Saccharomyces cerevisiae S288C: one gene and its partners. Changing the gene in region 1 together with any one later gene gives a genetic interaction. Each region holds a gene or a part of one and is shown in the gene's direction. Other genes may lie near its edges.

What was found.
Region 2: mutations in YMR084W (region 1) and NRS1 together harm fitness more than expected from each alone (negative genetic interaction), as found in Saccharomyces cerevisiae (one large-scale study listed by BioGRID).
Region 3: mutations in YMR084W (region 1) and YML020W together harm fitness more than expected from each alone (negative genetic interaction), as found in Saccharomyces cerevisiae (one large-scale study listed by BioGRID).
Region 4: mutations in YMR084W (region 1) and PUT2 together harm fitness more than expected from each alone (negative genetic interaction), as found in Saccharomyces cerevisiae (one large-scale study listed by BioGRID).

The regions. Positions count from the first base shown.
Region 1 is NC_001145.3:434,943-443,269, forward strand, and holds YMR084W (putative glutamine--fructose-6-phosphate transaminase), read left to right. Parts: upstream 1-1,685; coding exon 1,686-2,474; downstream 2,475-8,327. Other genes in the region: alcohol dehydrogenase ADH3, read left to right, coding at 1-973; YMR085W (uncharacterized protein), read left to right, coding at 2,549-3,847; SEG1 (Seg1p), read left to right, coding at 4,266-7,148; PDL32 (putative ADP-ribose 1''-phosphate phosphatase), read left to right, coding at 7,585-8,327. UniProt on the Saccharomyces cerevisiae protein: Involved in amino sugar synthesis (formation of chitin, supplies the amino sugars of asparagine-linked oligosaccharides of glycoproteins).
Region 2 is NC_001144.5:243,769-251,493, reverse strand, and holds NRS1 (Nrs1p), read left to right. Parts: upstream 1-3,067; coding exon 3,068-3,394; downstream 3,395-7,725. Other genes in the region: SAGA complex subunit SPT8, read left to right, coding at 1-222; OSW2 (Osw2p), read left to right, coding at 516-546, 634-2,777; IES3 (Ies3p), read right to left, coding at 3,541-4,293; FCF2 (Fcf2p), read left to right, coding at 4,517-5,170; EMA19 (Ema19p), read left to right, coding at 5,422-5,907; MLO50 (Mlo50p), read left to right, coding at 6,322-7,608.
Region 3 is NC_001145.3:228,828-233,643, forward strand, and holds YML020W (uncharacterized protein), read left to right. Parts: upstream 1-2,321; coding exon 2,322-4,316; downstream 4,317-4,816. Other genes in the region: adenine phosphoribosyltransferase APT1, read left to right, coding at 110-673; UNG1 (uracil-DNA glycosylase), read right to left, coding at 907-1,986; OST6 (dolichyl-diphosphooligosaccharide--protein glycotransferase), read left to right, coding at 4,630-4,816.
Region 4 is NC_001140.6:175,877-185,365, forward strand, and holds PUT2 (1-pyrroline-5-carboxylate dehydrogenase), read left to right. Parts: upstream 1-6,100; coding exon 6,101-7,828; downstream 7,829-9,489. Other genes in the region: YHR033W (putative glutamate 5-kinase), read left to right, coding at 1-943; PIH1 (Pih1p), read right to left, coding at 1,089-2,123; GTPase-activating protein NEL1, read left to right, coding at 2,343-4,235; BRL1 (Brl1p), read left to right, coding at 4,469-5,884; RRF1 (Rrf1p), read left to right, coding at 8,190-8,882; MSC7 (meiotic recombination directing protein), read right to left, coding at 8,999-9,489.

The DNA.
Region 1 (8,327 bases):
TGTCCCCGAGCCTAAGCCAAATGAAATTTTAATCAACGTTAAATATTCTGGTGTATGTCACACCGATTTACATGCTTGGCACGGCGATTGGCCATTACCTGTTAAACTACCATTAGTAGGTGGTCATGAAGGTGCTGGTGTAGTTGTCAAACTAGGTTCCAATGTCAAGGGCTGGAAAGTCGGTGATTTAGCAGGTATCAAATGGCTGAACGGTTCTTGTATGACATGCGAATTCTGTGAATCAGGTCATGAATCAAATTGTCCAGATGCTGATTTATCTGGTTACACTCATGATGGTTCTTTCCAACAATTTGCGACCGCTGATGCTATTCAAGCCGCCAAAATTCAACAGGGTACCGACTTGGCCGAAGTAGCCCCAATATTATGTGCTGGTGTTACTGTATATAAAGCACTAAAAGAGGCAGACTTGAAAGCTGGTGACTGGGTTGCCATCTCTGGTGCTGCAGGTGGCTTGGGTTCCTTGGCCGTTCAATATGCAACTGCGATGGGTTACAGAGTTCTAGGTATTGATGCAGGTGAGGAAAAGGAAAAACTTTTCAAGAAATTGGGGGGTGAAGTATTCATCGACTTTACTAAAACAAAGAATATGGTTTCTGACATTCAAGAAGCTACCAAAGGTGGCCCTCATGGTGTCATTAACGTTTCCGTTTCTGAAGCCGCTATTTCTCTATCTACGGAATATGTTAGACCATGTGGTACCGTCGTTTTGGTTGGTTTGCCCGCTAACGCCTACGTTAAATCAGAGGTATTCTCTCATGTGGTGAAGTCCATCAATATCAAGGGTTCTTATGTTGGTAACAGAGCTGATACGAGAGAAGCCTTAGACTTCTTTAGCAGAGGTTTGATCAAATCACCAATCAAAATTGTTGGATTATCTGAATTACCAAAGGTTTATGACTTGATGGAAAAGGGCAAGATTTTGGGTAGATACGTCGTCGATACTAGTAAATAATAGCGTGTTACGCACCCAAACTTTTTATGAAAGTCTTTGTTTATAATGATGAGGTTTATAAATATATAGTGGAGCAAAGATTAATCACTAAATCAAGAAGCAGTACCAGTATTTTTTCTATATCAAGTAGTGATAATGGAAATAGCCCAAATTTGGCTTCCGTCGACACATAGAACGTTTGAGAGACATTATCACCATCAAGCATCGAGCCGCCCAAACCTAACCGTATAAGTTTTTTCACGTTTTTGATTTTTCCTTGCACACTTCGATATTACTCTCACGATAAAAGGGCCGAAGAGAATATTTTTCTTGAACATCCAGAATTTTAATTCGGAGAAATTTCACAAGCCGCCGATTTAAGGGTCCTGTGTTCTTAATAATCAGCCTCTCTCAAAGCAGGTAAGAGGCAGTCTTTCTTTTAACAATAGGAGACATTCGAACTAAAACATCAGCCCCAAAAATGCGCTTGAAGGTCATTAGGATTTGGATTTCTTCCTCATTTTTAAAGGCGCCCCTTTTCGTTTTAGTCATGCTGGGCTAGACTAGCACGTAGTGTATGGAATCAAACTGATGCCGTCCCCTGAATTATATTTACAATTCAGAAACGTCTTTGAACATTTATAATTAAATTATAAAACAAAAGGAATTTGTAAAAAAGACTTTCAAAAGATGATCCAATAAACTAGATTAAAAACCCAATATAAGAAGAAGAATGTGTGGCATTTTTGGCTATTGCAATTTTTTAATTGAGAAGACAAGAGGAGAAATCATCGACACTTTAATCGAAGGGTTACAGGCATTGGAGTACAAGGAATATGACTCCAGTGGAATTTCGATCCAAGGTGATGAGCTGGAGTCTCTCAATATTTATAAGCAAACCGGTAAAATAAGCAGTTTGAAGGAAGAAATCGACCTTTACAATCTTAATAAGAACCTGCCCTTTATTTCGCATTGTGGCATTGCCCATACTAGGCGGGCAACACATGGAGGGCTAAGACGTGCAAATTGTCATCCACATAACTCAGATCCATCTAATGAATTTGTTGTGGTACACAACGGGGTTATTACCAACTTCGCTAATTTGAAAGCCTTATTGATGGCAAAGGGCTATGTGTTCAAAAGTGACACTGATACCGAATGTATTCCTAAACTGTACAAACACATTTATGATACAAGCATTGAACTCGGGTACAACCTCGATTTCCATGTATTAACAAATTTAGTACTTAAAGAATTGGAAGGCTCTTATGGTCTGCTATGCACTTCTTCTCATTTTCCCGATGAAGTGGTTGCCGCAAGAAAGGGTTCCCCGTTAGTTATTGGTGTTAAAGGTAAAACTGACATGGACGTAAACTTTGTCGAGGTGGAATATTTGGATCAAGAAGAAGACTACTTGAAGCTTAATACTCAAACCAAGAGTTCTGGTAATGTCTTGGCTGCCGCACCTGTAAAATATAACACTTGTTTAAGGAAGTCACCCCCCTTCGTTCACAATACCTGAGAAACTCTACAACTTCTACATTCAATCATGGCTCATCCACAGAAACGCCAGCCGAGAACGGCTTGCCGCGACCCATGGAATTCTATTTGTCATCCGATTGTGCATCACTAGCGCGGTATGTGAGTAAAGTAGTATATTTGGAGGATAATGATATTGCCCATATCTATGATGGGGAGCTTCATATCCATTGTTCTAAAATTGGTTCCGAGGACTTTTCATTTAGAACAGTTCAAAAATTAGAATTGGAGTTGTCCAAAATCAAAAAAGGCCCTTACGATAATTTTATGCAAAAGGAAATATACGAGCAGTGTGAAACAACAAAAAATGTCATGAGAGGAAGAGTTGACGCCTTTACAAACAGAGTAGTTTTGGGAGGACTAGAAAATTGGTTGACAGAATTGAGAAGAGCAAAACGAATAATAATGATTGCATCCAAGGCCTCCTTCCATTCATGCCTAGCTGCCCGTCCCATCTTTGAGGAGTTAATGGAAGTTCCAGTAAACGTTGAATTGGCCTTGGATTTTGTTGACCGCAATTGTTGCATTTTCAGGAACGATGTTTGCATATTTGTTTCTCGAAGTGGGGAGACAACTGATACAATTAATGCTTTGAACTACTGTATCAAAAAAGAGGCAGTCACAATCGGGGTAGTTAATTGCAGCGGTTCCTCTATCTCAAGATTTACACATTGCGGTGTTCATACAAACACAGGCCCCGAGAAAGGTATTGCAACAACCAAGTCTTATACTTCTCAATACATCGCTTTAGTCATGATTGCCCTATGGATGTCGGAAGATTTGGTGTCTAAAATAGAAAGGAGGAAAGAAATAATTCAAGCCTTAACTATAGTCCCAAGCCAAATAAAAGAAGTTTTGGAGCTTGAACCATTGATTATTGAATTGTGTGACAAGAAACTAAAACAGCATGATACATTTTTGCTTTTAGGAAGAGGTTACCAATTTGCCTCTGCTTTGGAAGGCGCCTCGAAGATGAAAGAAATTTCTTACGTGCATTCTGAAAGTATTCTTACCAACGAGCTAGGACACAGAGTCCTAGCTGTGGCATCTGATAATCCGCCAATTATCGCCTTTGCGACAAAGGATGCTTTTTCGCCCAAAATCGCGTCTTGCATTGACCAAATAATAGAAAGGAAGGGCAATCCGATTATCATTTGTAACAAGGGGCATAAGATATGGGAGCAAGACAAACAAAAAGGAAACGTTGTTACACTCGAGGTACCCCAAACCGTAGATTGTCTCCAAGGGATACTTAACGTTATTCCTTTACAATTAATTTCTTACTGGTTAGCGATCAAGAAAGACATCGGAGTTGATTTGCCAAGGGACTCGGCGATGTCGGCCCCGGATATATAAAAAAGTGTTCTTTAATTCCTTCTAATTTCATTAAAACAAGTACTTATATTTTGGGCAGTATGTAGAATAGATGTTCACACTCTATAGCCAAATAACTTAATTATTGGTCAAGGTAATCTCTTGCAATTGGTGTCACTGCCACATCTTTTAACGTCAACAGTAAATCCGCAAAATCCCGTCGCGTCGCCGCTAAGCAGGCCCAATTTTAGCTCACTGCGGCAGCGGGCTGGCCGTGTGGCGCGAGGGTCAACATGCAAAAAAGGACGATAGATAACCTTAAAGGAAGTATTCATTTCTTCGCTAAATTTTCAGTGCTCCCTTACTTTACCGACAAATTGGATAAAAACATATAAAACACAACAGCAACACGTAGCCATACCAACCAATTCCACAAATCACCAGCCGTTCGTTCCTAAAAATGTTTAGAAGAAGAACAACTGCACCAGAAATGGAACAGGCGGACCCGACAGCAGTGGCAGCTGCAGCAAGTATCGGTAAATTATTAATGAAGAAGGGTAATCAATCTGATAACGAACAAAGGCCGACCTATCGATCCGCTTCGATGACAAACTTAAGAAAACCTTCTGCCCCCAAAAGAATGTCTTCTATTTCTAGTATATCATCGGAATCTAGAAGGAGCGATGGTAAAGGTCGTCCCGGGAAAATAAACAGCCTTACCCAACGGTCATCAATGGGGAAGGGAGATTCATTAAATTCTCCTTTAACGAAGGAACCGCAGCACAAAACTAGGTCTCACAATAGAACTTCGAGTCTCCCTAACCAGAGAGGTCAGCAAAGCAGAAACAGTTCTGGTTTACAACGTCAAAAGTCCAAAACACACCAAAGAATAAGCTATGATGAGGCTCAACGTACGTTCAAGGATTTTGGCGGACCACAGGCCAGAGGAATTTTAACGGGACAACACCGTACTGAAAATCCTAGCGGGTCTATTCCTTTGAGGACTACGCGAAAGTATATTCCTGGGCCCAACGGGCTGGTTGCAATTGAGGTCCCCGTTGAAAAACCAAGCAATGCCAATACTTCTAAATTGCTAAGGCGTTCCAACTCTGCCCACAGTGCCTTGAATGCAAGAAATGGTTCACTTTTAAGAAAAAAAGTATCGCAGGAATCTTTACATTCTCAACCAAAGAAGACTTCGTCTTTAGGGAATACATCAAGTACACAAGCAAAAAAAGGCCAAAAGGCGGTTCAGGAGAGAAATCTTGCCAAGAAACATCCAATAAATTCAAATGTTCCTCTCATTGAAACACAAGTTCGTGAAGAAACAGACCAAGAGTTGAAACTTGATAATTCTAACTCTTCCGAATCCGAAACAGTAGTCAATAGCGAAAATAATCTAGAAAAACCTTCTTCACTAAACATTGAAAAAGATGATCTAAGCAAACTAATACATGAAAACATTGAGTTAGAAAGTTTTATTGAAGAAAAAGGGAAGGAAAAACCTTTAAATTCTGATCAAGAAGATGTTTTCATAAGCGAAAAAACTGTAAAAGGCGATGTACAATGGCCAAAAAATAACCGTCAAGCATCTACTCTTGAGAAAACTTTTAATTACGACAACGAAGAGAAGAGGGAGGGGAATAAACCAGTAGCAGAACATCCTCTTCCGGAGGCCGAAGTGGATGACAAGTCGGTTGAACAACTGAACAACATTTCTTCTAGCGGCAGTTATTCGGCCCAAGGATCAGTTGAAAACTCCAAACCAGAAAATGGCAATAAAAATCTAGAGAATGACACAACATCGTCTCCCACACAAGACCTTGATGAAAAATCCCGCTCAATAGAAGAGAAGGATACCTTGGAAGGGACCGAGAGTTCAAAAAAAGTTGAAAAGCCAGACAATTGTTGTGAGAAAATTTCTGGTGCTAATACTTCTTCCAAAAAAGGGAATGTTGGCGATACTAAGGATGAATTCTTCGATACAGTAGAAGAAAGCGATCAGAAAACGAGCAAGTCGAATTCCTCCAAGAACACCGATCATTCTAATCAAACAGAACCAACGCCTTCTTTGGCTCAGTATTTAAGGACCTCAAATACCTACCTTTCTCGAAAAAACCAATCGAAACAAGCTGAGCAAGAAAAGTTTCACAAGCCTGAAGCTCCTATGGTTCCTGTAACGAAAGTAGTTACACCAATCAAATCTGCTCTTAAAAAATCGTCAGGATCGTCCAACCATGACTCATCCATGTACTCTGATAACTCTCCCGCCAATGGCGCATACCTGTCTCTTACGACTGCTGAAAATACGAGATTAAATGCTCAAATGACGATGTCCGACAGCGTATCACGCAGAGCAAGTTTAAAACGATCTTCTATAAAAAGACCTCAGTCAGTAGGCCAGTTCAGAAGCATCAGATCAAATTCGCCTTCTCCCCCAGAGAAAATAAACAATAAACGCCATTCTGCTATACCCCTAGGAACCCCAGAGAAGGGTAAACCAAAAAGAAATTCGGTTATGGCTTCTCTGTCTAAAAATTCGCAGCAAATTCAAGAGCCCGCAAGTGTATATGAGTCAAATGGCCCAAATAAACCTAAAAACCAAATCAATAAGAATATAAAGAGAGGATCACAGATCGCGCAAAACAATAAACCTTCAACGAAGGACATGAATAGTATTTTGTACCCCAAAGAACCACCTCCTCGCAAATCTAGTTTTGAGAAGACGAGAAGCAATGAATCCCATCTCGGATTTAAAAAGCTTTCTTTGAGAAATGGTAATTTTGAGGAGGCATTGAGTGAAAGCTATAATGGGCAAGCTAGCCAGAATAGCACAAATGTGAATCGAACCGATACAGCACAGGAGTTTTTCAAATATTTGGGTCATTCATCAAGATTTGCGGATTCAGACTCAGAAGATGAGTCCCAATTTTTCAACCAAGGCCCATCAAAATACAACACAGAAACAGAAGGCAATAAAACCAGCGGTAACAAAAATAGTAATGGTGGTAACGGTGCTTTTTCGCTTTTCAAGAGCAAAAGTAAGCAAAAGGAAAATAATGTGGTTTCCCCTGGAGTCTCAAGTCCTAATCATACTACCACCGATCCTGCCATTACAAGTAAAAAGGTGGACAAGAAATTCAGCGGGTTATCTTTAAGAGCTGCCAGTGAAGCTGAACCTGCAAAAAATTCAAACCCTTCGATGACCAATAGGTTACGCTTCTCTAGTAATCCAGAGAACGGCGAAAGCAGGCTCCCACAAGCACAGGAAGTCAGCGTTACAAAAGAAAAGAAGGGTAGTTTCGGCAAAAAACTGAAAAAAATCTTTGGTAGAAAGAAATAGGGACTCTCGGCAGAAATTCTCTCCTTGTACAAGTTATGTATTTTATTCTTTTTCGTGCTCGTTCAACTTCTGAACGATGGCTTCCATGCACTGTAACATATAAAGGATTTTTTAATAATGAATAATCAAGAAATCTCCATTTTATATGCTTTTTTTTTTTTGCCGTTTCCACTGCAATCAATGGCGATATAATCGGATGAACAATAAATATTCGTGTTCCTATTCGTGTTCCTATACGTGTTCCTAGCAGCAAACAATAACAGAAGAGAAGCATTTGATTTTCGTAAAAACTTCAGGTGTGGGTGTTTCTTATTAACGGTTAAACTTTACGAATTGAATCCCCTATGTATAATGGTCCATAATACATCTTAAACCACCAAGCCATCTTCGTAATTTTGAACTGGGAAAATTGGGAAAACTGCAGACATTCATAATCATGACAGGATCTTTAAACAGACACTCACTTTTGAACGGGGTAAAAAAAATGAGAATAATATTATGCGATACAAACGAAGTAGTTACCAATCTCTGGCAGGAATCTATACCCCATGCATATATTCAAAATGATAAGTATCTTTGTATTCATCATGGGCACCTTCAATCTCTTATGGATTCAATGCGTAAAGGTGATGCAATCCATCATGGCCACTCTTACGCAATTGTTTCACCTGGTAACTCGTATGGCTATCTTGGAGGAGGGTTCGATAAAGCTTTGTATAATTATTTCGGGGGAAAGCCCTTTGAAACATGGTTCAGGAATCAGCTTGGAGGAAGATATCACACGGTCGGATCTGCTACAGTGGTTGACCTACAGCGATGTCTTGAAGAGAAAACAATTGAATGTAGAGATGGTATTAGGTATATTATTCATGTTCCGACCGTTGTAGCCCCATCAGCTCCTATATTTAATCCGCAGAATCCCCTCAAGACAGGGTTTGAACCGGTTTTCAACGCCATGTGGAATGCCTTGATGCATTCTCCAAAAGACATTGATGGTCTTATTATTCCTGGATTATGTACTGGGTATGCAGGTGTACCACCCATTATCAGTTGCAAGAGTATGGCCTTTGCGTTAAGACTATATATGGCGGGAGATCACATAAGCAAAGAATTGAAAAATGTGCTGATCATGTATTATTTGCAATATCCGTTTGAACCTTTTTTCCCGGAAAGTTGCAA
Region 2 (7,725 bases), on another chromosome or scaffold:
AATATCAGATTGTACAACGTTGAAATTGCAGTAGATGCTTCGAATTCGACTACAAAGAGTTCTAAAGTGCCGTTCCTCATCGTGCCGGGCCATCACGGTGGTATTATATCAAACTTATACCTCGACCCCACTTCAAGATTTATAATAAGCACAAGTGGCAACAGAGGCTGGCAGGGGAATTCTACGGACACGACCCTTATTTACGATATAGACTTAGAATAGTGAGTTGTAATAATAATCATAACCATAATCATAATCATAATTACTCCGCGCGCCGTTTATTTTTTTTTTTTTTTTTTCAGGGCCACTGATCCCTTCATTTTGTGTCAGTAATTCAGGGTCCGGGCAGACAAAGGCATATTATACTATCAAAATTTGAATGAAAAGTAAAATGAATGGAGTTAATAATACGCTTCATATTAACAAAAGCACATAGACGCACGATACAAATACTAGTTCAAATTGTATTCCTAAGCCTTTCTTTCTTTTTTTGAAGGCAAGAACTCGCATTAGTTATGGAAGAAAACCAATTAACGTGCTTAATAGGTATGGCAAAGAAGTTTAAGAAAACAGACATTCGAACAAAAATTTACTAACATATAAATGTAAATTTAAATTTCCTTTTTTTTACAGTTGGAGAAACACCAGCAGCACAATTTCTAGGATGGAGACTAAGTTTGAGCAACTCTTTTATAATACTGGTCTCGCAATATGTGTCTAGTGACGAGTTAGTTGCCTGGAAATCGACAAAACTAGGCGCCAATTTCTACACGCCAAACATTCTCACTAAGGATATTAAAGAGCTGCACCACAAATTAAAACATAACGGTGCAAATACGTATTCAATTGACATTGTGTTAGTGTCTGCAATTTCCTTACAGTCTTTCGAAACAACTTGTCGATTGTTGTCAGATTACACGAACGACAATACGACTGTGCTTATTAGCACTGATTTTGGTTGCGAACTGGAGCCCATAGCCATAAGTTATTTTGGAGGGAAGTGCAAGTGTGTTATTTCCATTTCGTGTGAGGTTGAATGCAGACAGTTATCGCTTGGATCATATGCATTGGTCAACGACGATCAATGTGTAATAACTTTGGGATTAACTTATTGTGATGCTAATTTTGAAGCAAGTCCAACCATTCTGGAAAACACGAAAGCAGCTTCGTTAGAATTGCAAGGGATTAAGGGTTCAAATGTTCGCAGGTTCCTTCTTGGATTGACCGTTGCGAAATGGATGAAATCTAAATTAATTTTGGACCCAAAACAAATGGCATTGAAAATGTGGGAATTGCTTATTCCTAAAATCTCACTTAACATCCTTTCTATCATCTATGAACAATTTGATTATGAGAAAATGTTAGAAAACAAATCCACAGAAATTATTTTTAAAGATCTGGTGAAAGAGTTACTTGGAATTTGCTTTGCACAATGTGGAAGCAAAATTGCAAGGTTTTTGCTAGTAAAATCACAAGGTGAAGAAGAGATTAATTTTGGGAAAATCGTAGAATATTGCAAAGGTAAAAAACTGCAACTTATCAACTCTACGGCAAACGAACATCCGGAATATTTATCCTTACCGTTTGAGCCTTATTGTTTCTACCACCGATTTGAATATCCTGCTCAAATTCTTTTGCATCAGCCCATCATTTTGGCCAAAAAGTATGGTGTTTCGTGTTCAAATTTAAATTTCCTATATGGATTCTATACGAGGTTACTGACACTAAGTGGGCTATCAATAAATGGTGGAAGGTGTGAGCATGCCTTGTCGATGTTGGACAGCAGGATTGGTGGTGGTATTAACGTTGCTTCAGGAATTAATAGCGGCCAAGATTTTACCGATGGTGATAACGAGGATCAAGATAAAGGCAAAAACAGAGTGGACAAAAATGTAAAGGAAGGTTCTTTCATTAGTTTAACACAACGATTCACGATGACAAGTCCACTGGGTGTCAATGATCCAGCTTTACCAGCGGACTTAGAAAAGTTGTATTTAGGTGCAGAATACATTAGCAATTGCGACGCAAATACATCTGGTGGTCAAAAACGAGTAAAATCTCCAACTAAAGCAGATACAGGCTACGATGATAAACACTTGCCTGATGATACGATACATACATTTGAAGATGAATATTTGGCCGATGAAGACGACTTTTCTTGCCTTGGAATTGACAAAAGAAGCTCAACAAAGCCCACAAAGCCTCTAGAAAAATTTGGAGTGGTTGCTGTGCCACACTTCATCAGGAGGTTTTCTATTAAAAGGTCGAGTAAGGATAAATCAAATGATATGAAAAGACCATATACTACAAGCAGCTTGGAGTTGCAATTAAGGTCAAATCACTTTATGTTCGCCAAAGAATACCAAGACTTACATAGACAATTATATTACGAAGTTAAACCAAGGACGCAATCAGAATTGGACGCAAGACGTCGAAACTATTCTGAATTAGAATCTCAGATGTGGAAAATTAAACATCGGTTCAATATTCATAGAGGAGCACTGCCTCGTCCACGAACGAATCCGTATGAGCTATTACTGGACCACATTGATGTTTTGAACCGTGGCAACACTGGGGATATTTTGAGATTTACCACTAGTAGATACGGTGGTGTAGATACGTATGATTCCATCTTGAGGGACCAATCCACGATCATGGAACTTTTAGATAAACGGTGTGCCTATTCACCTCCAGTACTGTTCGATAATGAGGCTAAAGAACGTGATCATGATCGCGATTGTTATCAAGATTACAATCACGACCACCGGAGTCATTAATATTAAAAAAAAAAAATGTGATTGTTAATAAGGGGTGGGATGCGCGAAATTCTATGCCTACAGTAGAAAGCGGTTGTTGCACAAATGATTAAATCTTTATCTCCAACTCACAATACTATCGCGATAGATGCATAATATGTGCAGCTTCTAAACAGCACGGAGTGATGATAAATACGCATATATGTATATATATATGTATGTGCATATGCACGTCCTTTTAAAACTCAAAATACAACATTCTTAGTAAATCCTTTTGTTGACACACGTCGGAACAACTCAGGACGGAGTTAATGGATATGCTTCATAATAAATGTAGTGATGCTATCAAAAGCACCTCCAATAGCAATTTGAGTAATGAGGTAGACAAACAAAAATTGCAATACGATGACCTCGGGAACACCGGATTTTCTGAACTATTTGAGATGGAATCTCAAGATAATAATGATAGCATAGAGGATTTCTTGTTCTTTAATATAAATTTAACCCAGGAGGTTGAGTTCGAGAACCAAAGACAATATGAGCACACGAAAAAGACAAAGAAGCATAACCCATTCTATGTACCGTCAGAGGTAGTGCGAGAGATGGTCAAGAAACACGCATTGAATGGCAGAATATAGTTAAGCCCGATAACACATTCTATTTTTCATGTTTTAATAACGTTTCATATATGAATTTTTCTCAAATATACGATATATACCTAAATGAATATGCATATGGAAGTGAAGTTGGGGATTTTGCAAACTTGTCTTATGTTAATCTTGGCTTAAAGAATGTTTTCCAAAAGGCCGTTCTTATTAATTTTTCTTCTCTTGGTTCTGTTAAATGCTAGTGAATTCGCATTGACGTTCGTTGGTATGGCTACTGCTCCGAATGCGATTGGATGGCTTGCCTTCCTGCCACGATTACTGAACAAATCGAGTTCTACATTTGCATCCAACAGTAGTTCTTTCAATATAAACCACTTTCTTTCTTTCTGTGAAAGTTTTTGGTACTCTTCAAGCAAGTTCTCTTGGATTTTGGTCAGTATATCAATTTTTTCATCATCTGATAAGTCAGGGTCCTCAGTTTCTTGGTCCTGCTCCGCTGCATTTAATGTTACAATTTGGTCATTGACAGCTTGTAAAAAGTTGTCATTCATAGCGTAAAGATTGTCCTTGTACAACCTTGTCTTGAGGGTGCTTATATCTATCTCATCTTGGTTAGCGTTCGTTATTACATTCCCTGGAGAATTCTTTATCATTTCATAGTTCATTTTCGATATGTCATCCACGGCAACAATGTGTCTTTTGAATGTCGTGGTGTTTGTGTGAGTGGAAGCAGTTGAGGCGGCATTTGCATCGGTAGCTGTAGATGGGGTCGAAGAACCTTGTTGATTCAAGCCATCTGCGTTATGAAATTTTTTGTGATGTGGGTCTTTCTCCAAGAAATCTGGAGTTTTGACACTTTTGTAATGTTGAGTAGCTGCATGAGCAAACTGCACCTGTTTATTGGTTGCCAAGAGGTCTTCGAACTTCATTGTTATGATTCCATTGAAGACAGCTATGTCAGTTAACAACGCAATTCCCCCTTTCACACGAAAACCTTTTCTCTAAACATCCTTCTCTTTTATCATAATTCGTGGTTAGTGCCGGCCTAAAAATTTTTCAGCATATTAAAACAGAAGATAGAAAAGAAATAGAAAATGCGATGAGACGTCAAGTTTTCCAATTAAAGAGGACGTGAGAAAGGAGCTGTTAAACATGGATCAAAGTGTGGAAGACTTATTTGGAGCACTAAGAGATGCTAGTGCCAGTCTAGAAGTAAAAAATTCAGCGAAGGAACAAGTTTCTCTTCAACAAGAGGATGTTTTGCAGATAGGCAATAATGATGATGAAGTAGAAATTGAAAGTAAATTTCAAGAGATCGAAACTAATCTTAAGAAGCTTCCTAAGTTAGAAACCGGATTTGATGCTTTAGCAAACAAGAAGAAGAAGAAGAACGTCTTGCCTAGTGTGGAGACAGAAGATAAAAGAAAACCCAACAAGAGCGACAAAAACGATAATGACTGGTTTACCTTACCAAAGCCAGATGATAACATGCGTCGTGAAGTTCAACGAGATTTATTGCTGATTAAACATAGAGCTGCTCTTGATCCAAAGAGACATTATAAGAAGCAACGTTGGGAGGTGCCAGAGAGGTTTGCTATTGGTACCATAATTGAAGACAAGAGTGAGTTTTATAGTAGTCGTATGAACAGGAAGGAAAGAAAGTCGACTATTTTGGAAACACTCATGGGTGATGAAGCTTCTAATAAGTATTTCAAGCGTAAATACAACGAAATTCAGGAGAAATCTACGAGCGGTAGGAAGGCACATTACAAGAAAATGAAAGAGATGAGAAAGAAGCGGAGGTGAGATAATGGAATTTTCTTCGCCACGTATTCCATATAGTATATTGTAAAGTGGTTTAGATTACATAGAAATATTCAAAAGAATTAATAATTTGCATATCGTTTAAAAAAAAAAAACCTTTGAAAACATAGTAAAGAATTATCGGCTTTTGTACAGGATACGAATTAGTAGGTATAAAAGGAACAACCGCAGCAAATAAGTACGAGAAACGAGCCACTCACGTGAAAACATATAGAGAAAAGCGACCGGAGATAATGAAGCTAGGACATCGTGAGCAACAATTCTACTTGTGGTACTTCATCGTTCACATTCCCATCACCATATTCATCGACTCATCAGTGGTTATTCCCGCTAAATGGCAACTAGGGATTGCGCAAAAGGTTGTTAGTGATCACATCGCAAAGCAACACGATTTCCTGCTATCAGAGAAACCAGAATGGCTATACTGGTTTGTAGTCCTTGAGCTAGTTCTGCAACTACCCCTTTTCGTCTATTTCGTCAATAAATTCTGGAATTCAAGCGAATTACAAGTTAATACAAATAGCAGATTGAAAAAGTGGTTGCGTATCTATGGCTGGAATGCCTCTCTAACTACCTTGATATGTATCGTTGTTATTTTCAAGCGTGGTTACATTCCTTACGATGTGCTAAAAACAAGCTTGTCCATGACCCAGAAGTGTCAGTTAGCCTCGGTGTACCTACCTACATTCCTAATTCCTTTGCGTTTGTGTTTTGTGTAGCCTGTGTCGGCTATATATACAGTATTAGTGACTATATAGTTAATTAGTGACATATGCCACTAGTTTTATCTAATTATTGTGCTGCGTTTTGCAGTATTCTTTTTTATTTGAAACGCGTCACAAAAGTTTCGCGTCCTTAGGGAAATGGCTGGTTTTTGTTTTAAAATAGTATATTATCCTTGATGTAATTTAGCAAGAGTGTATTGTAAGGGAACAGTCTGTTACTGCCATTCCCTCATCGCTAGATCCCCCTTCCCTCGCTTATTCCGTTACTTTCGCTTTACTGAGCCATAACCAAGCGCACGCATACATATATATATATATATATATTGTGCTGCACGTATATATAAATAAATCACGCGTACAAGGATACGTTAGCCAAATTCTTTGGATATAACAAAACAGCTACAACTCATGGTTAATAATATCATGCACGAGTACGTACCACCCAGTCAGCGGCTATTCCATAGCAGGCATAGAATAACAAGAAACGATTTGAAAGAAGAGGCCCTACATTCCGGGACCACAGATTGGACAACAATTCTGGACACAACAATAGATAAAGATACTAATCTCATTAGTTATGCTGTCCCCATAATAGACAACTTTGCCATTCCTCGAGCAAACTCTCAGGGGAGTCCTGTGGCCCCTTCGCCGAATCACAGATCAACGATGTACTCTTCTTCATCTTCTTCTGCGTCTTCTGTGTTTTCTGATGGTTTGTTTACTCCAAACAACAACAGGAACTCATCAGGATCATCTTCATTAGTCATTAGACCACAAAAAAATTTGAGTGTAGATTCTTTGATTCAGGAAAATAAAAGGAAAATCAATAGTGAAAAAGAATCGTTATCATTAATTGCCAATAATAACGATGAAACCTTGTGCACTCATACTGATCCATCCATACAAAACCTCATTAAATCGGAAACAAAGAGGAACATCTTAAATTTAAAGTTTCAAAATAGAAACTTATTTCGAAGAGAACTAAAATTGGAAAAGTTTTGGAGCAATTTGAGAAGTTGTCATACATCTGGCGATGAGACGGACCTGCTGTTGGTGATAAGTAAGCATAACTTATATTGGTTTGGGATACCGAACGATTTTCGTCTTCCAATATACAAGAGATGTTTATATCACTATAGCGAACTAGACGAAGCCGGATTTTTCAGTCAGTATGCGAACAACTCATTGTATCTAGCAATAAGGAAATGTTGTAACAACGAAGAGCAGGAAACTCTATCCCGGTCTATTTTCATCAATTTGACGAAAAACGTTACCTGGTTGAATAGTCGTTTCGATGACAATAAGGACAACAAGAATTCTTACACGGTTACTGAGGGGAAGTTCTATCAGGACTTTCCTAACTTATACTACCATTTAAAGGACAAGTTGAAATTAAATGTGATAATGGATTTCATCAAGCCTGTAATAAGAAATTTTATGACCAACGCATTGAATAAGCACAAATTAGATGGTATTGGTCTAGAACTTTTAGATATTCTAATAGTGACTACCTATTATGGTCCGAATAAAATCAATGCTTTCTTAATGGATACATTTATCTTAAACTTGCTAAAACAGTGCCATTACAAGTTTTTTGTCAGTAATATCTCTGAGCTGGTTATTCAAATTTCTAAAATCGATTGTGACTTAGTCATTCTGCTAGAAGATTTAAGGTCACGGATTGATTTAGATTGAGCAAGGGGTAAGAGAGAAGGCAGGTATTTCTCCTGGAAGAATATATATATATATATATGTATAACGAAAGCAAAATAAATACTCGGGTGAACCCGTCATGGCGAATAGTGCAAATTT
Region 3 (4,816 bases), 210 kb from region 1:
CTCATTGGGAAGGTAAAATGCATCTTGCGTCTGACTCAATATCCATAAAATCTATTTTCACGCATTTTGCCTGCTTCAAAGAAATCTATCGCAAATATTCCTACTAATCATGTCTATAGCAAGTTATGCCCAAGAGTTGAAGTTGGCTTTACATCAATATCCAAACTTCCCTAGTGAAGGCATTCTCTTCGAAGATTTCTTACCCATTTTCAGGAACCCAGGTCTTTTCCAGAAGTTGATCGATGCTTTCAAACTGCATTTAGAAGAAGCTTTTCCAGAAGTTAAAATTGATTATATCGTCGGGTTGGAATCCCGTGGGTTCTTGTTCGGACCAACTTTAGCTTTGGCCCTAGGTGTTGGTTTCGTTCCAGTCAGGAAGGCAGGTAAGCTACCTGGCGAATGTTTTAAGGCTACGTACGAAAAGGAGTACGGTTCTGATCTTTTTGAGATACAGAAAAACGCTATTCCAGCAGGTTCCAACGTTATCATTGTTGATGACATTATTGCCACTGGTGGTTCTGCTGCTGCAGCCGGCGAATTAGTTGAACAACTCGAAGCCAACCTTTTGGAATATAACTTTGTTATGGAGTTGGATTTCTTGAAAGGCAGGAGTAAGTTGAATGCTCCAGTGTTCACTTTACTGAACGCTCAAAAGGAAGCGTTGAAAAAATGATATGTTTCACGTCCTGACCCATATTCAAGCTTCCTTTCTGCCGGTTTCAAGCAATTTATTTTTCTTACTTCTCCTTACTCTCTCAATTTGGTTGTATAATATTTACTTTTTAGATTGAAAAATATTCAATCCACTTTTCTGCTTTGTGCCACAAAGTAGTCTATTTAGTTTTTTATCTATTATATGCTTTTAAAGAGTTTGGAAATCGAGACCTGCATATGCAATAGTAATATTCAAGGGTCCTTTGATTCTGACTCTAAGCGAGCATTTGCCTCCTGAACTTCTCTTAATGACGTTCCAGGAACAACACTCCAGTCTATCATTTTCTCTCCGCGGGTATTGTATAGCCAATCGTTTATCATTTTGAAATGGTTGGTACCAAAAAATCCTCTACTTGCACTTAATGGAGACGGATGCACTGACTTCATCACCATGATATTAGGGTACTTACTACCGCTTCCAACGGAAGTAGATCCCAACAGAGACTCTACTAATTTGATAGCATTGTTCCCCCATAAGAGGAATACTAAACTCTTACCGTCGGCCTCTCTGTCCTGGATCAACAACTGAACTACCCTTTTTGTAAAAGTTTCCCAACCATGCTTAGAATGCGAGTTTGCATTATGTGCTCTTACAGTTAACGAGGTATTAAGCAATAAAACCCCTTGTGAAGCCCAGTGAGTTAAATCTCCCACTTTATTATCTTCAACAAAATCAGGATACTCTTGCTTCAGTTCCTTATATATGTTCTTTAATGACGGTGGTGCTGGTGTAGGGGGTTTGACGCTAAAAGCCAAGCCATGCGCCTGATTAAAGTTGTGGTAGGGATCTTGACCGATAATCACGACTTTAACTTTATTAAAAGGCGTTAGCCTGGTCCATGAGTAAATATCCTTTGCAGGCGGAAATACTGTATGATCAGCTTGCTCTTTAGTGACAAACTGTTTCAACTTTACAAAATATGGCTTTTTAAATTCATCCATTAAATGTGGAAACCACGAATCATCAATCGTTTCTAGCTCCAGCGACAGTAGTGTACGTAAATTGCTGCTCAAGTTCTTCGAATATACATCTTTTGCATTTGAATTAGCAGGATATTTGTCCGTGTTTGCCTCCTTTGCGACCGCCTTTGTCTCTGTCTTGATAGCTGCGCCATTTGTTATGGTCATGAAAGTAGCGCCCGATTTACCTTTCTTATTGGGCGCCTCATTAGTGCTTTTCTTTGTACCAAAGAAGTCTTCGATCGTAGTTTGCTTTCTCTTTCGAGCCACCGTCATAACTGAATTTGTTGGCAATCTTCTCATGCACCACATGTATGTGAACGGCTTGTGTACAGCTTCTGATAATATATATCATTATGGATGAATTACGCGTTGCGGACACATTCCAGGTTTTGACAATAGGGAAAATATTGAGTTTATATGTAAAGCTTTTTACAAGTCACTAATGTGAACAACGTGAGGTAATTCCATGGAAAGTTCATATAAGAATAGTTCGAAAACTATCTTTTTTATTCCCACCAGTCACTAGATTCGGCTTTATACATATAGTGGGCTTATCACTGCTCTTGGATAGCACTTTTGCACTACAAATAGACACCATTACGAAGAATTGGAAGAGACTTATATACAGAGTACCAGTAGGTAGAATGGTCACGACTCCATTGCATTCCTCGCCGAAAAGCAGTCTGAAATCTTCAACGACCTCACTGCGCTCAGTACATACTCAGTCTGGTCGTATGGGGCCTAGTGAGCCTAAGCACAGAACAACCAAATCCTGGTCTATATGGGGAGGTAATGACGAGGAAGAACCGGAGTTATCTAATAAAAATAAAGGAAAGGAAACCGCCCAAGACAACAGTCAAGAAAATGACAATGTTTCAAATGAGGGAACACGCTTGCACGATAATCAACAAACAACGATTTTAAAGGAAACCACCAGGATCGAGAAGGGTGAGAAGGACAAAAAAGACAGAAATGCAGCTATAGTAGAAAAAAACACAAGACCACGAGCATGGCCATTCTTTTGGGGCCGTAACAAAAAAGATCCGGAGCCGACGCATAACATTCCCACTGATGCGGATAATAACACTTTATCACGTTTAGCAAATAGTCTAAATCCGGCTCCTCTAACCAACACTTACATACCTTATAAACCTGATGCTATATTGATCAGAGATAAAGGTGTCAAAACTGCTAAGAAATTAACAGATGACATAGGCAATCAGTTTCCTAACATTGTTGTACCAAGTTTCGATATTTTACCGAAACAAACCATATGGAATACAGTCACATCCACAATTTGGAAGTGGAAGACTGAATACTGGGATAGAAGACCTTCATCAAGGGTACGAGAGGGGGAAGAACAGGTGCAGCACTCACAAAATCAGTTAAAAGAGGAAACAAACACAGTTGCAAACGAGGCAAAAGATGAGGAGCGGTTGGAACACAACAGAGGATCTCTATTTAGGGTTGATCCATGGAAAAAAATAAACCTTCTATCAGATTACCAATCTAGGCCCATCAGAGTTCTCATTGTCGGCGTTCATGGGTTCTTTCCAACAAAAATTATTAGACCGTTTATTGGTGAGCCAACGGGTACATCTACCAAGTTTGTCACAGAAGCTGAGGAAATAGTGAAGGAATATTTTGATCAACATAAAGTACCCATTGAAATAAGCAAGATCGCTCTTGAAAGAGAAGGAGAGATATTTGATAGAGTAGATTTCTTCTACGAAGTTATGAAGCATTGGAGCAAAGAAATAAACAATTCTGATTTTATTTATTTTGTTAGCCATTCGCAGGGGTGTCCGGTAACCATTATGCTTTTAGCGAAGCTGATCAAAAACGGCATAATAAACCTTGATAATTCTCAATTTTTCAACGATGAAATTCAGTTTTGTTCGTCCAAAAAAATTATCTCGGTCTTGGCCATGGCAGGTATCAATAATGGTCCATTCTACGGTGCAGATCAAACTTTGTTTGTTCGTGCTTACCAGACGATTGAAAAAGACTCATTGAGGGAGTTATTCGAGTTTCAAAAGTTTGATTCCAAACAATCGCAAAGCTTCATAGAAGGCCTAAGAACAATCATATCAAATAACGTTAAGATTACATTTGTGGGATCCATCAATGATCAACTGGTCCCTCTGTATTCATCCACATGTCTTTTTGCCAACCATCCCAATATATTTCGGGCCATTTTTATTGATAGAGGATCACAAACTCCAGCATTTATCACTCGCATAGTTAAAATTGCTGGTTCACTCTTAAACCTGGGTTATAACGATCACGGAATCATAAAGGAAATAAGCGGATCTCTGGCGGGCACCCTGACAGGAGGTGGTCACTCTACCATTTATAATGAGAAACAGGTCTACCATCTGGGCATCAAATTTGCATTAGAAACAACCGATTTGTCCGAAATGTATCCAATTGAGTACTCACCATATAAATTGTCTGAGTTAGGAGCCAACCCCTATCGTCTGCCATGGTGTATGAGGGGATTGATGTACGAGTCCAACAAGCATTTCAGTAATGAAGAAATCAAGATGTTGTTTAAGGAATTTGAGGAATGGGAGCCTGAGACAAAGCAATTGAAGGACATAAAAAACAGGCTTAATGGTTTGAAATATCGACTCTGATAAAAAATACATCCAGCATGATACCAGCTTGCTTCCGCAAACGAAACATAACTTAAGGTACCGCAATTCAAAAAGGCATTCATACGTACAAATATTAACTATATCTGACATTATTTAGACTATCACAAGCAGTATTTATTTATTTATTTACTTATTTATTCATTTATTCATTTCCTTTTTAGTCTTTTATGCCAGTGAGCTACTGTCGCGAATTGAAAACTGCAAAAAAATAAAATAGGAACTTGGATTCAGAAGTTTTGATAATAAAATTGCATGTAGATGAGAGCCGCGAACTGAATCATACAAAAAAAATATGAAGTGGTGTAGCACATACATTATTATATGGCTCGCCATTATATTCCATAAGTTTCAGAAGTCCACAGCCACTGCATCCCATAATATAGATGATATTCTACAGTTGAAAGATGACACCGGTGTGATAACAGTGACCGCTGACAACTACCCACTGTTAAGCCGTGGTGTCCCAGGTTACTTCAATA
Region 4 (9,489 bases), on another chromosome or scaffold:
GCGTTGGAACCAGTACAATAACGCACGCAATACAATCAACGAACTGCTGGCCATGGGTGTCATCCCTATAGTCAACGAAAACGATACGCTATCCATTAGCGAGATCGAGTTCGGCGATAACGACACGCTTTCTGCCATTACCGCTGCTCTTGTAGGGGCGGATTTCCTGTTCTTGCTCACAGATGTGGACTGCCTATATACAGACAATCCGCGCACTAATCCGGATGCTCGTCCTATTGTTCTCGTGCCAGAGCTATCAGAGGGCCTTCCGGGCGTCAACACTTCCAGTGGTTCAGGCTCCGAGGTTGGCACGGGCGGAATGCGCACCAAACTCATAGCCGCCGACCTCGCCTCTAATGCCGGTATCGAGACTATTGTGATGAAGAGCGACCGTCCAGAGTACGTCCCGAAGATCGTTGACTACATTCAGCATCACTTCCGCCCTCCGCGCCATATCGGAAACGGCACACAGCAGCAGTTTCTCGATCTTCAGGATACGGAGCTCGAACAGTTGCGTCGCTACGATGTTCCCATGCACACCAAGTTCTTAGCTAATGACAACAAACACAAGCTTAAGAACAGGGAATTTTGGATTCTGCACGGGCTCATTACCAAGGGCGCCATTATCATCGACGAGAACAGCTATGATAAACTTTTGTCAAAGGATATGGCTAGTCTGACTCCAAACGCCGTGATCGAAGTCCGAGACAACTTCCACGAACTTGAATGCGTTGATCTCAAAATAGGCCAGCGGTTACCCAATGGCGAATTGGATATCTCGAAGCCGATTCAGTCTGTTGGATGCGTCCGCTCCAATTATACGAGTCTGGAGCTTGCGAAGATCAAGGGCTTACCCAGTGAGAAGATTCACGATGTTTTGGGCTACAGTGTGAGTGAATACGTAGCACATAGAGAAAACATCGCTTTCCCTCCGCAATTTTGAGAATATTCCCTTTTTTTTACCGGATTAAAAAAAAAAAAAAAAATTCTGTTATAGATGCACATCATATCTCTCTCCTTTTTCCCGCTTTTATATATTCGTTCGTATTAGTCACAACAAAAACCAAAAGAATACTCGAAATGTTAGTTTATATATATATATATAGTGTGCGTTCTTTGCGGATATGGAAAATCTTGATATCTGCTGCATTCACGACTATGTCGCGCGGCAAAGGTATGCTCAGCTTACCGTTAATGTATAAAATATTCTCTGCGAAGTTGTAGCTCGGAGAGAACCGGTCCGGCTTCGAGTTCGGAGCTTTGTTCTCAATAAGAATTCGCAGCTTGTAGGCGGCCCCTTTGAACCTCTTCATCTTTACCTCGTATTCCGGCACGTCCTCCTGCTGCTCGTGCGGTGCAGGTGCAGGTGCAGGTGCCTGTTTCAGGTTTCTGTGAGCAATCTCGTTCTTATCAATCTCCTCTATCTTGGCTCCGGAGATTTTGTTCTCGATAGGGAACAATGGTGGTAGTGTTCCATCGTCGGGATCATTATTATCATCGCCATCGTCATTCCTTCCTCTCAATATACTCATCGGGTCTCCGGCCTCCTCTTCTATGATTTTATGCATTTTTGCCTTGTAATCTTGATGTAACTCATCATTCAATACCTCTAGTGCAGGAAGCTCAGCGCCCTTCTTCTTCATCTTGGGGAATGCAATGCGATCTCTGCACAATACCACCGAATCTCGGATCTCACATGACTCCAAGCACCATTCGACCAGTATCTCTCGCAGTTGGATATCATCGCATATCCAGCGCGAGCAATCGCTATTTATGCAGCAATCCCACACATAGCACTCCTGCCCCTTCTTGTCATGGTCCATGCGGTAGCAGGATGTAATAATAGGAATCTCCCATTCGTTTTGGATGATGAGCGGGAACACTATCCTTGCATTAAAATCGACCTCAGGTTTGGGCACTAACGGAGAGTGACAAACATTGATGAACACCTTCCTGCCATCTTGCAGTTTTTCCGGCCCATTAGCGGATAATAGTTTTGTCTTAATTACAAAATCTGCGATGGGCTCAATTTTAGACACCGATCCGTCTGCAGCGTCCACCGACACGTACTTGTCCTCGTTTCTATGACGTTGCTTAATTGGTCTCAATAAGAAATCGGCCATCGGTTAAGGTCTGTTTGTTCGCTTTGAAAAGTCTGTTCCCTGTATTCCTTTTTCTTCCATGCATATGAATTCAAGAATTCCTAGTTTTTTTCTATCATTATTGTCTTCTGATTTTTTTTAAGGAAAAAAAATATCAAGAGTAAAAATAGTGATCAGGTACTGAATCCTGTATTTGTACAATACTGCAATCTAGCACCAAATTTGGCCAAGGAAGTGCCTATGTGTTCTCCAACTAATTTCTTATATGAGCCCTTTTCCAGCGATGCTGTGACGCAGAACTATGACCAAAATCTAAAATGCACCAAATGTGGCGCCTATTATTCGATGGCTTGTTCCCTACGAGAACAGAATGTTTGGACTTGTCTATTCTGCAACCAATCAAACTCAAATGCTGAATTGCCACTGGTACCTTCCAACACCTATACATTGACTTCTGCAAAGAAAGAAATACTTTCAAGACGGACCATTATGATTATAGACGCTATTTGCGATCCTCATGAGCTAAATTATTTAGTTTCCATTCTATGTAATAATTACATCACAAGACAACAAGAGCCACTATCAATAATTACTATTCAGCAATCAGGTCATGTGATTTTACACAATGCTGTGAATCACAGACGTGATGCTGTATTTTCAATAAATGAATTTATGACCAAATATAATCTTGATAAATTAAATGCCAGTTACTTCGAGAAAAAAATTTCAGAAATCAATCAAGAATCATACTGGTTTGATAAATCTACTCAGGGTTCTTTAAGAAAATTGCTACGGGAAATATGCAAGATTGCAAACAAAGTGAATATCAGTTCTAAAAGGGACAAGCGTTGCACCGGATTAGCGCTGTTCGTTTCATCCGTACTGGCGTCTCAGTGCAGTTTGTCAGCCTACTGTCATATAGTTTCATTCCTGAATGGTCCATGTACTAAGGGTGGCGGCAAAGTTATGTCAAGAGAACGTGGTGAAAGCATGAGACAAAACCACCATTTTGAATCCAAAAGTTCACAATTGCAACTATCAAAAAGTCCGACAAAATTTTACAAGAAAATGCTTGAAAAATTTGCAAACCAATCGTTAATCTATGAATTCTTTATAGCTTCATTGGATCAAATCGGTATACTCGAAATGAGTCCATTAATAACTTCGTCAATGGCAGTTTCTCAGTTTGATTCATTCAATGATGAGAGATTCGCAATGTCTTTTCAAAAGTACCTGAACTTGCGTGACCATAATGCCATTTACAATTGTCATTCAAAGATAATGACCGCAAAGAACGCTATTGTCGTTAAGGACTTCCCAAAATATAGCTTAAACCCTAAAAACCTTTCTCTACCATTAGAAATCTCACTAGGTCACAATTCAGCTGAAGCTCCTATACAGTTTCAAACCACTTTTGAAAATCAAACGGAAAAATACATAAGAATTGAAACCCTCTTATTGCCAAAAGCCAATAGATCATTTGGGGCACAAAATGAAATTGTGTTTTCAATGAAAAAGATAGCCTCACGAATTATCGATAGCTTTGCTTACTCATCCAAGCACACTAAAGAATTGATGAAGCAATTGTTTCTATTACCAAATCAAATCCGGGGAAAAGACGTAGATATGGTCAATCTGATACAGTGGTGTTATCATATATATAGGTCTCCAATTCTATCGGTTCGGAATACTTCACCTGATGAAAGGTACCTTTTTCTTCACCGAATAATAAACGCTTCTAAAGACACATGCCTTTCATTATGCAAACCCTTCATCTGGAGTTACAGTGATTTGAAACACGACTGGATCGTGTTGGATGTCCCATTAACAAGAGCCCAGATACTTCAAGATGATAAAACCACCATTTGTGTAGATGGTGGCTCGTACTTAGTTTTAAGAAGGGGAAAACTTTTGGAAAAAGAAGGTCGCGAGCTCTGTTGCAAGCTTTTAAATGACTTGCAAAGGTTTCCGCAGCCATTATATGTTGAAACTAAAACCGGTGGCAGTCAGGACCGTTTCTTGAAAAGCAAAATTATTCCCTTGGACATCACTGACAAGGAAACTCTTGGTACAGAGGATATGACATTCAATGAATATTTCAACTTGTTCACCGATCTAAGTGGAAGCAAATAACTCGCTAAATATTCTTGCTGCACTTTGCGACGCCTGTATTGGCGAAAACAAAAAGTAAAGAAAAAAAAACTTTAGATGAAATAGAGCAAAATTCCCTAAGACAATAGAAGATACAAAAGCAAGTTGGGCCCTTAATTTCATCAAAGGTATAGCATCTCATCAAATAGTCGCTTGTTTATCGCAATACTTGCTTATTGAGTAGTTGTATTATAACGTTATATAGGATCTTCCATATGGAAAGTTTTGAAAATTTGAGCATAAGAGACAGTTTCACTAGCGGAATGGAACACGTTGACGAGGAGTTAGGAGGCCTCTCCGACCTAAGTATATCTAAGCAGGGGCCAACTTTGTCACCACAGCTTATCAACCGATTTATGCCCCATTTTCCCTCGAGCCCATCACCTCTGCGAAATACATTGGATTTTAGTGCTGCTAAAGCTGATGAGGAAGAAGATGACCGAATGGAAATAGATGAGGTTGATGATACAAGTTTTGAAGAAGAATATAATAACGAGCCAATCGAAACTCATACTGAAGCGACTGAGAATGCCGTGGTGGAAGAAATCGAGGCTACCCCAGAAGAAAGACAAAAGCAAGAGAAGAATGAAAGCCAAGACCAAAGTGTAGAAGAGGTCGAGAACATTGTTTCACCGCATCGTTCAACTGTCATAAAGGCATTATTATCACCGACCGATTTAGGTGTGGCCGCAGCTACTAAAGTTGAAGGTGTTGTGCCATTACCACCATCGGCCAATCAAGATGACAATGAAAGTTCGAATAACAACGCAGAGGGTGAAGACATAATCAGAAATGAAGAAGTCGAAGATGAGATCAAATCATCACTTGGCAACCACAAGTCAAGCCAGTACGCAAATGCGTTCGATTCGGAAATAATCAAGAGGGAATTAAGATCAAGATCAAAATATCAACCAATTCAGGTTTCATTCAATACACACAACTACTTCTATTCAGATAAGGACGGCATTAAAACTTATTCTCTTACTAAACCAAATCACAATAAAATAGATGAATTTTACGACCAAAATGAAGCTTTCAAGTTGCCTAAACCATGGTCACCCAATTCACATCCGGCATCAAGAGCGTCATATGCCCTAATGTCATATTTACAGTTATTTCTCAATGCGATCACTACAGTAGTGATTTTTAGTTTTATACTCTCATTTATCATAGCGCTTCAAAAGGACTTGAAATCCACATGGGAACAAAGAAAACATGAACTGCAGTACGAATCCAGAATTTGTCAAGAGCAGTACCTCACAAATCGTTGTAACCAGACGCCTGGCTTGCCGGCTCTGGGCGAACAATGTGCTATATGGAAACAGTGTATGGACAGAAATAACGATATCTTTTTCCGTGCAAGATCAACGTTGAGCGCAAAATTGTTCGGAGACATTATCAACTCATTCATAGATCCATTAAACTGGAAAACACTATTTGTTATTTTTTGTGGTGTGATAACTTGGTGTTTCAGTTCGAATTTCTTACTGGGTTTTGTAAGAGCCAAGAGCTACTATGGCAATGGCATCAAAACATATCCCTTGCCATCTTCACCGAAATCGCCGACATCAGAAGAAACACACTCATCTATGACAGCATCTGGAGAGGACTCACACCTACTTAAGCAATAGATTGTGCTATCTGGGACAGTAACAATGCTTATCTACGCCATCGGACATCTCGGGAAGCCAACTCCGAAGCCGACAAAAATTGGATAGGCCTACTATATAAGGGTGACAGGACAGCTGACTTTACTCCAGAAGTATATCCATGGAAAATATGTAATAATACAAACAAGTTAATATAATCTATATTGTATAGAAGGCCAATTCAAATTCACAGGAATTATGCTATCAGCAAGGTGCCTCAAATCTATATACTTCAAGAGATCTTTCTCACAACTGGGACACATCAAGCCCCCCAAGCACATAAGAAATGAACCTGTTAAGCCATTTAGAAACATAGACTTAAAAGACTGGGACTTACTGAGGGCTTCCTTGATGAAATTCAAAAGTTCTTCTTTAGAAGTGCCACTGGTCATCAATGGGGAAAGGATATATGACAATAATGAAAGAGCGCTTTTCCCGCAGACTAACCCTGCGAACCATCAACAAGTACTGGCAAACGTCACACAAGCCACGGAAAAAGATGTCATGAATGCTGTAAAAGCCGCCAAGGATGCCAAAAAGGATTGGTACAATCTACCGTTTTATGACAGATCTGCAATTTTTTTGAAAGCCGCTGACTTAATTTCCACCAAGTATCGTTATGACATGTTAGCTGCTACAATGCTGGGCCAGGGAAAAAATGTGTATCAGGCAGAAATCGACTGTATCACGGAATTATCTGACTTTTTTAGATACTATGTCAAGTATGCATCAGACTTGTATGCTCAACAACCCGTAGAGTCAGCGGATGGTACTTGGAATAAAGCTGAATACAGACCTTTAGAGGGATTTGTGTATGCTGTTTCACCATTCAACTTTACTGCTATTGCTGCAAACTTGATTGGGGCTCCAGCTTTGATGGGTAATACAGTTGTCTGGAAACCTTCACAAACCGCTGCCCTTTCAAATTACTTATTGATGACTGTTTTGGAAGAAGCGGGATTGCCAAAGGGTGTCATAAATTTCATTCCAGGTGATCCAGTTCAAGTTACTGACCAGGTATTAGCTGATAAAGATTTTGGTGCCTTGCATTTTACCGGTTCTACAAATGTCTTTAAGAGTTTGTATGGCAAAATACAAAGTGGCGTTGTTGAAGGGAAGTACAGAGATTACCCCCGTATTATTGGTGAGACAGGTGGTAAAAATTTCCATCTAGTTCACCCAAGTGCAAATATATCACATGCAGTACTCTCTACTATTAGAGGCACTTTCGAGTTCCAAGGCCAAAAGTGCTCTGCCGCTTCCAGGTTATATCTTCCAGAGTCAAAAAGTGAAGAATTCTTATCCGATATGTTTGGCATATTGCAGTCACAGAATGTTGTCCCAATGAACACATCCGCAAGTCCAATTTCTGGTGGGAATTTGCGGGGATTTATGGGTCCTGTCATCCATGAACAAAGTTTCGACAAATTAGTTAAAGTAATTGAAGATGCAAAGAAAGACCCCGAGTTGGAAATTCTTTACGGTGGACAATACGATAAAAGCCAAGGTTGGTTTGTCGGACCCACAGTCATAAAAGCCAAGAGACCAGATCATCCATATATGTCAACAGAATTTTTTGGCCCTATATTAACTGTTTACGAGTATCCAGATACTGAATTTAATGAAATCTGTGATATTATCGATAATACGAGTCAATACGCCTTAACTGGTGCTATTTTTGCCAAAGATCGTAAAGCAATTGAATACGCAGATGAGAAGTTGAAGTTTAGCGCAGGAAATTTCTACATAAATGATAAGTGTACTGGTGCCGTTGTTTCTCAGCAATGGTTTGGTGGCGCAAGAATGAGTGGTACCGACGATAAGGCTGGTGGTCCAAACATTTTAAGCAGATTTGTCAGTATTAGAAACACAAAGGAGAACTTCTACGAGTTGACTGATTTCAAATATCCATCGAATTATGAATAAAAAAATTTTTGTGGAATAGAACCGCGAATGCAGTCACTTCATCCATCAACTCATGTAAATGTTAGATTATCGAAAAAAGGGTTTTGATTACTTCATTAGGTTTTTTTAGTTTTACAATTTTAATTTATCTAGGTAAATAGTTTAAAAATATTCATTGAACCAACCGTCCAAATTCCCGTTCTATATTCTGTCATGACTTACTTATTCACGTTGCTATTTATTCGCCGCATATTCATTCTGTTTTTGGCATAAGGACCCGTCCGGAAACAGAACATCAATTTATTAAATACGTCCATTCGTAAGCTTAAAGATGGAAACTTTGGCGAGCAGTCCCTGACAAGAAAAATAACAGCAAGAAATAATGATTTTAACCACAGCTAGATTAAATTGTAGACCAGTCACCGTTCCTCGTCTATTTAATCGTTCTTTTAGTCAATCTTTCATAATTTTGAAGAAAAAAAGTTCTACCCCTACTGAGAAAGTCGAAGAAGATGAAATTGACGTGAATGAACTGCTGAAAAAGGCAGAAACTCAATTCAAAAAAACTTTAGAAATTCAAAAACAGAAAATGAATGAGATAAAACAGGGAAATTTTAATCCTAAGGTATTCAATAGTTTAGTGTTCAAAAATAACAGAAAGTTTACAGATATTGCTACCACATCCTTGAAAGGTAAAAATGCACTTTTAATAACAGTTTTCGACCCCAAAGATGTGAAAACTGTGATCAGTGGGGTGCTTGCTGCGAACCTGAATTTAACTCCTGAAAGGGTCCCAAATAACGATTTGCAATTGAAAGTTTCGTTACCACCACCAACTACAGAATCCCGGTTAAAAGTAGCTAAAGACTTAAAGAGAGTATTTGAAGAATATAAGCAGTCATCGCTAAAAGACTCATTAGGAACTATCAGAGGCAGTATTCTAAAGGAATTCAAAAGTTTCAAAAAGGATGATGCCGTTCGAAAAGCTGAGAGGGATTTGGAAAAACTGCATAAGGATTACGTGAACAAGCTTCATGACCAATTCCAGAAAGTTGAAAAAAGCATTGTAAAATGAGGAATTTCGTAACGTGTATAGAATCAAAAAATCATAAATCTTGTACATAAAAAGTTCATTTTATATAATAATAAATACCAAATTATTGATAAGTTTGTTGCTTCCTCTAAAGTAAACTAGCTGGCTTCTTTAGCTAAAGAGAACAGTGACTTTATTCTTTGCCATGTGGAATTTGTATAAGCTCCTACGATGAAACTCTTTACAAAATTCCAAGCCTTAGCATTGTTACGAATAGGGTAGTCTAATGGTTTTGGAATTTGAGTGGAGACAAAAGGCAAAGTATCAAAACAGACACTTTTGGCATTGCACAAACCCAAAAGACCTTCTTCACCACCAAATTTACCGTAACCTGAACCATTGATACCACCAAATGGTAATTGACAAACATAGAATGTAGCAAAATCATTAATGGCTACATTACCAGTTTGTAGGCTATTTGCGACGTAATTGCATTCCTTGATATCCGCACCAAACACAGAACCACCTAGACCAAATGGCGCAGAGTTGGCTAGTTGTACACAATGGTCAGTATTCTTAGCTTTCATCATGACTAAAATTGGGCCAAACACTTCGTTTTGTGCTATTTTCATTTCTGGAGTGACATCCA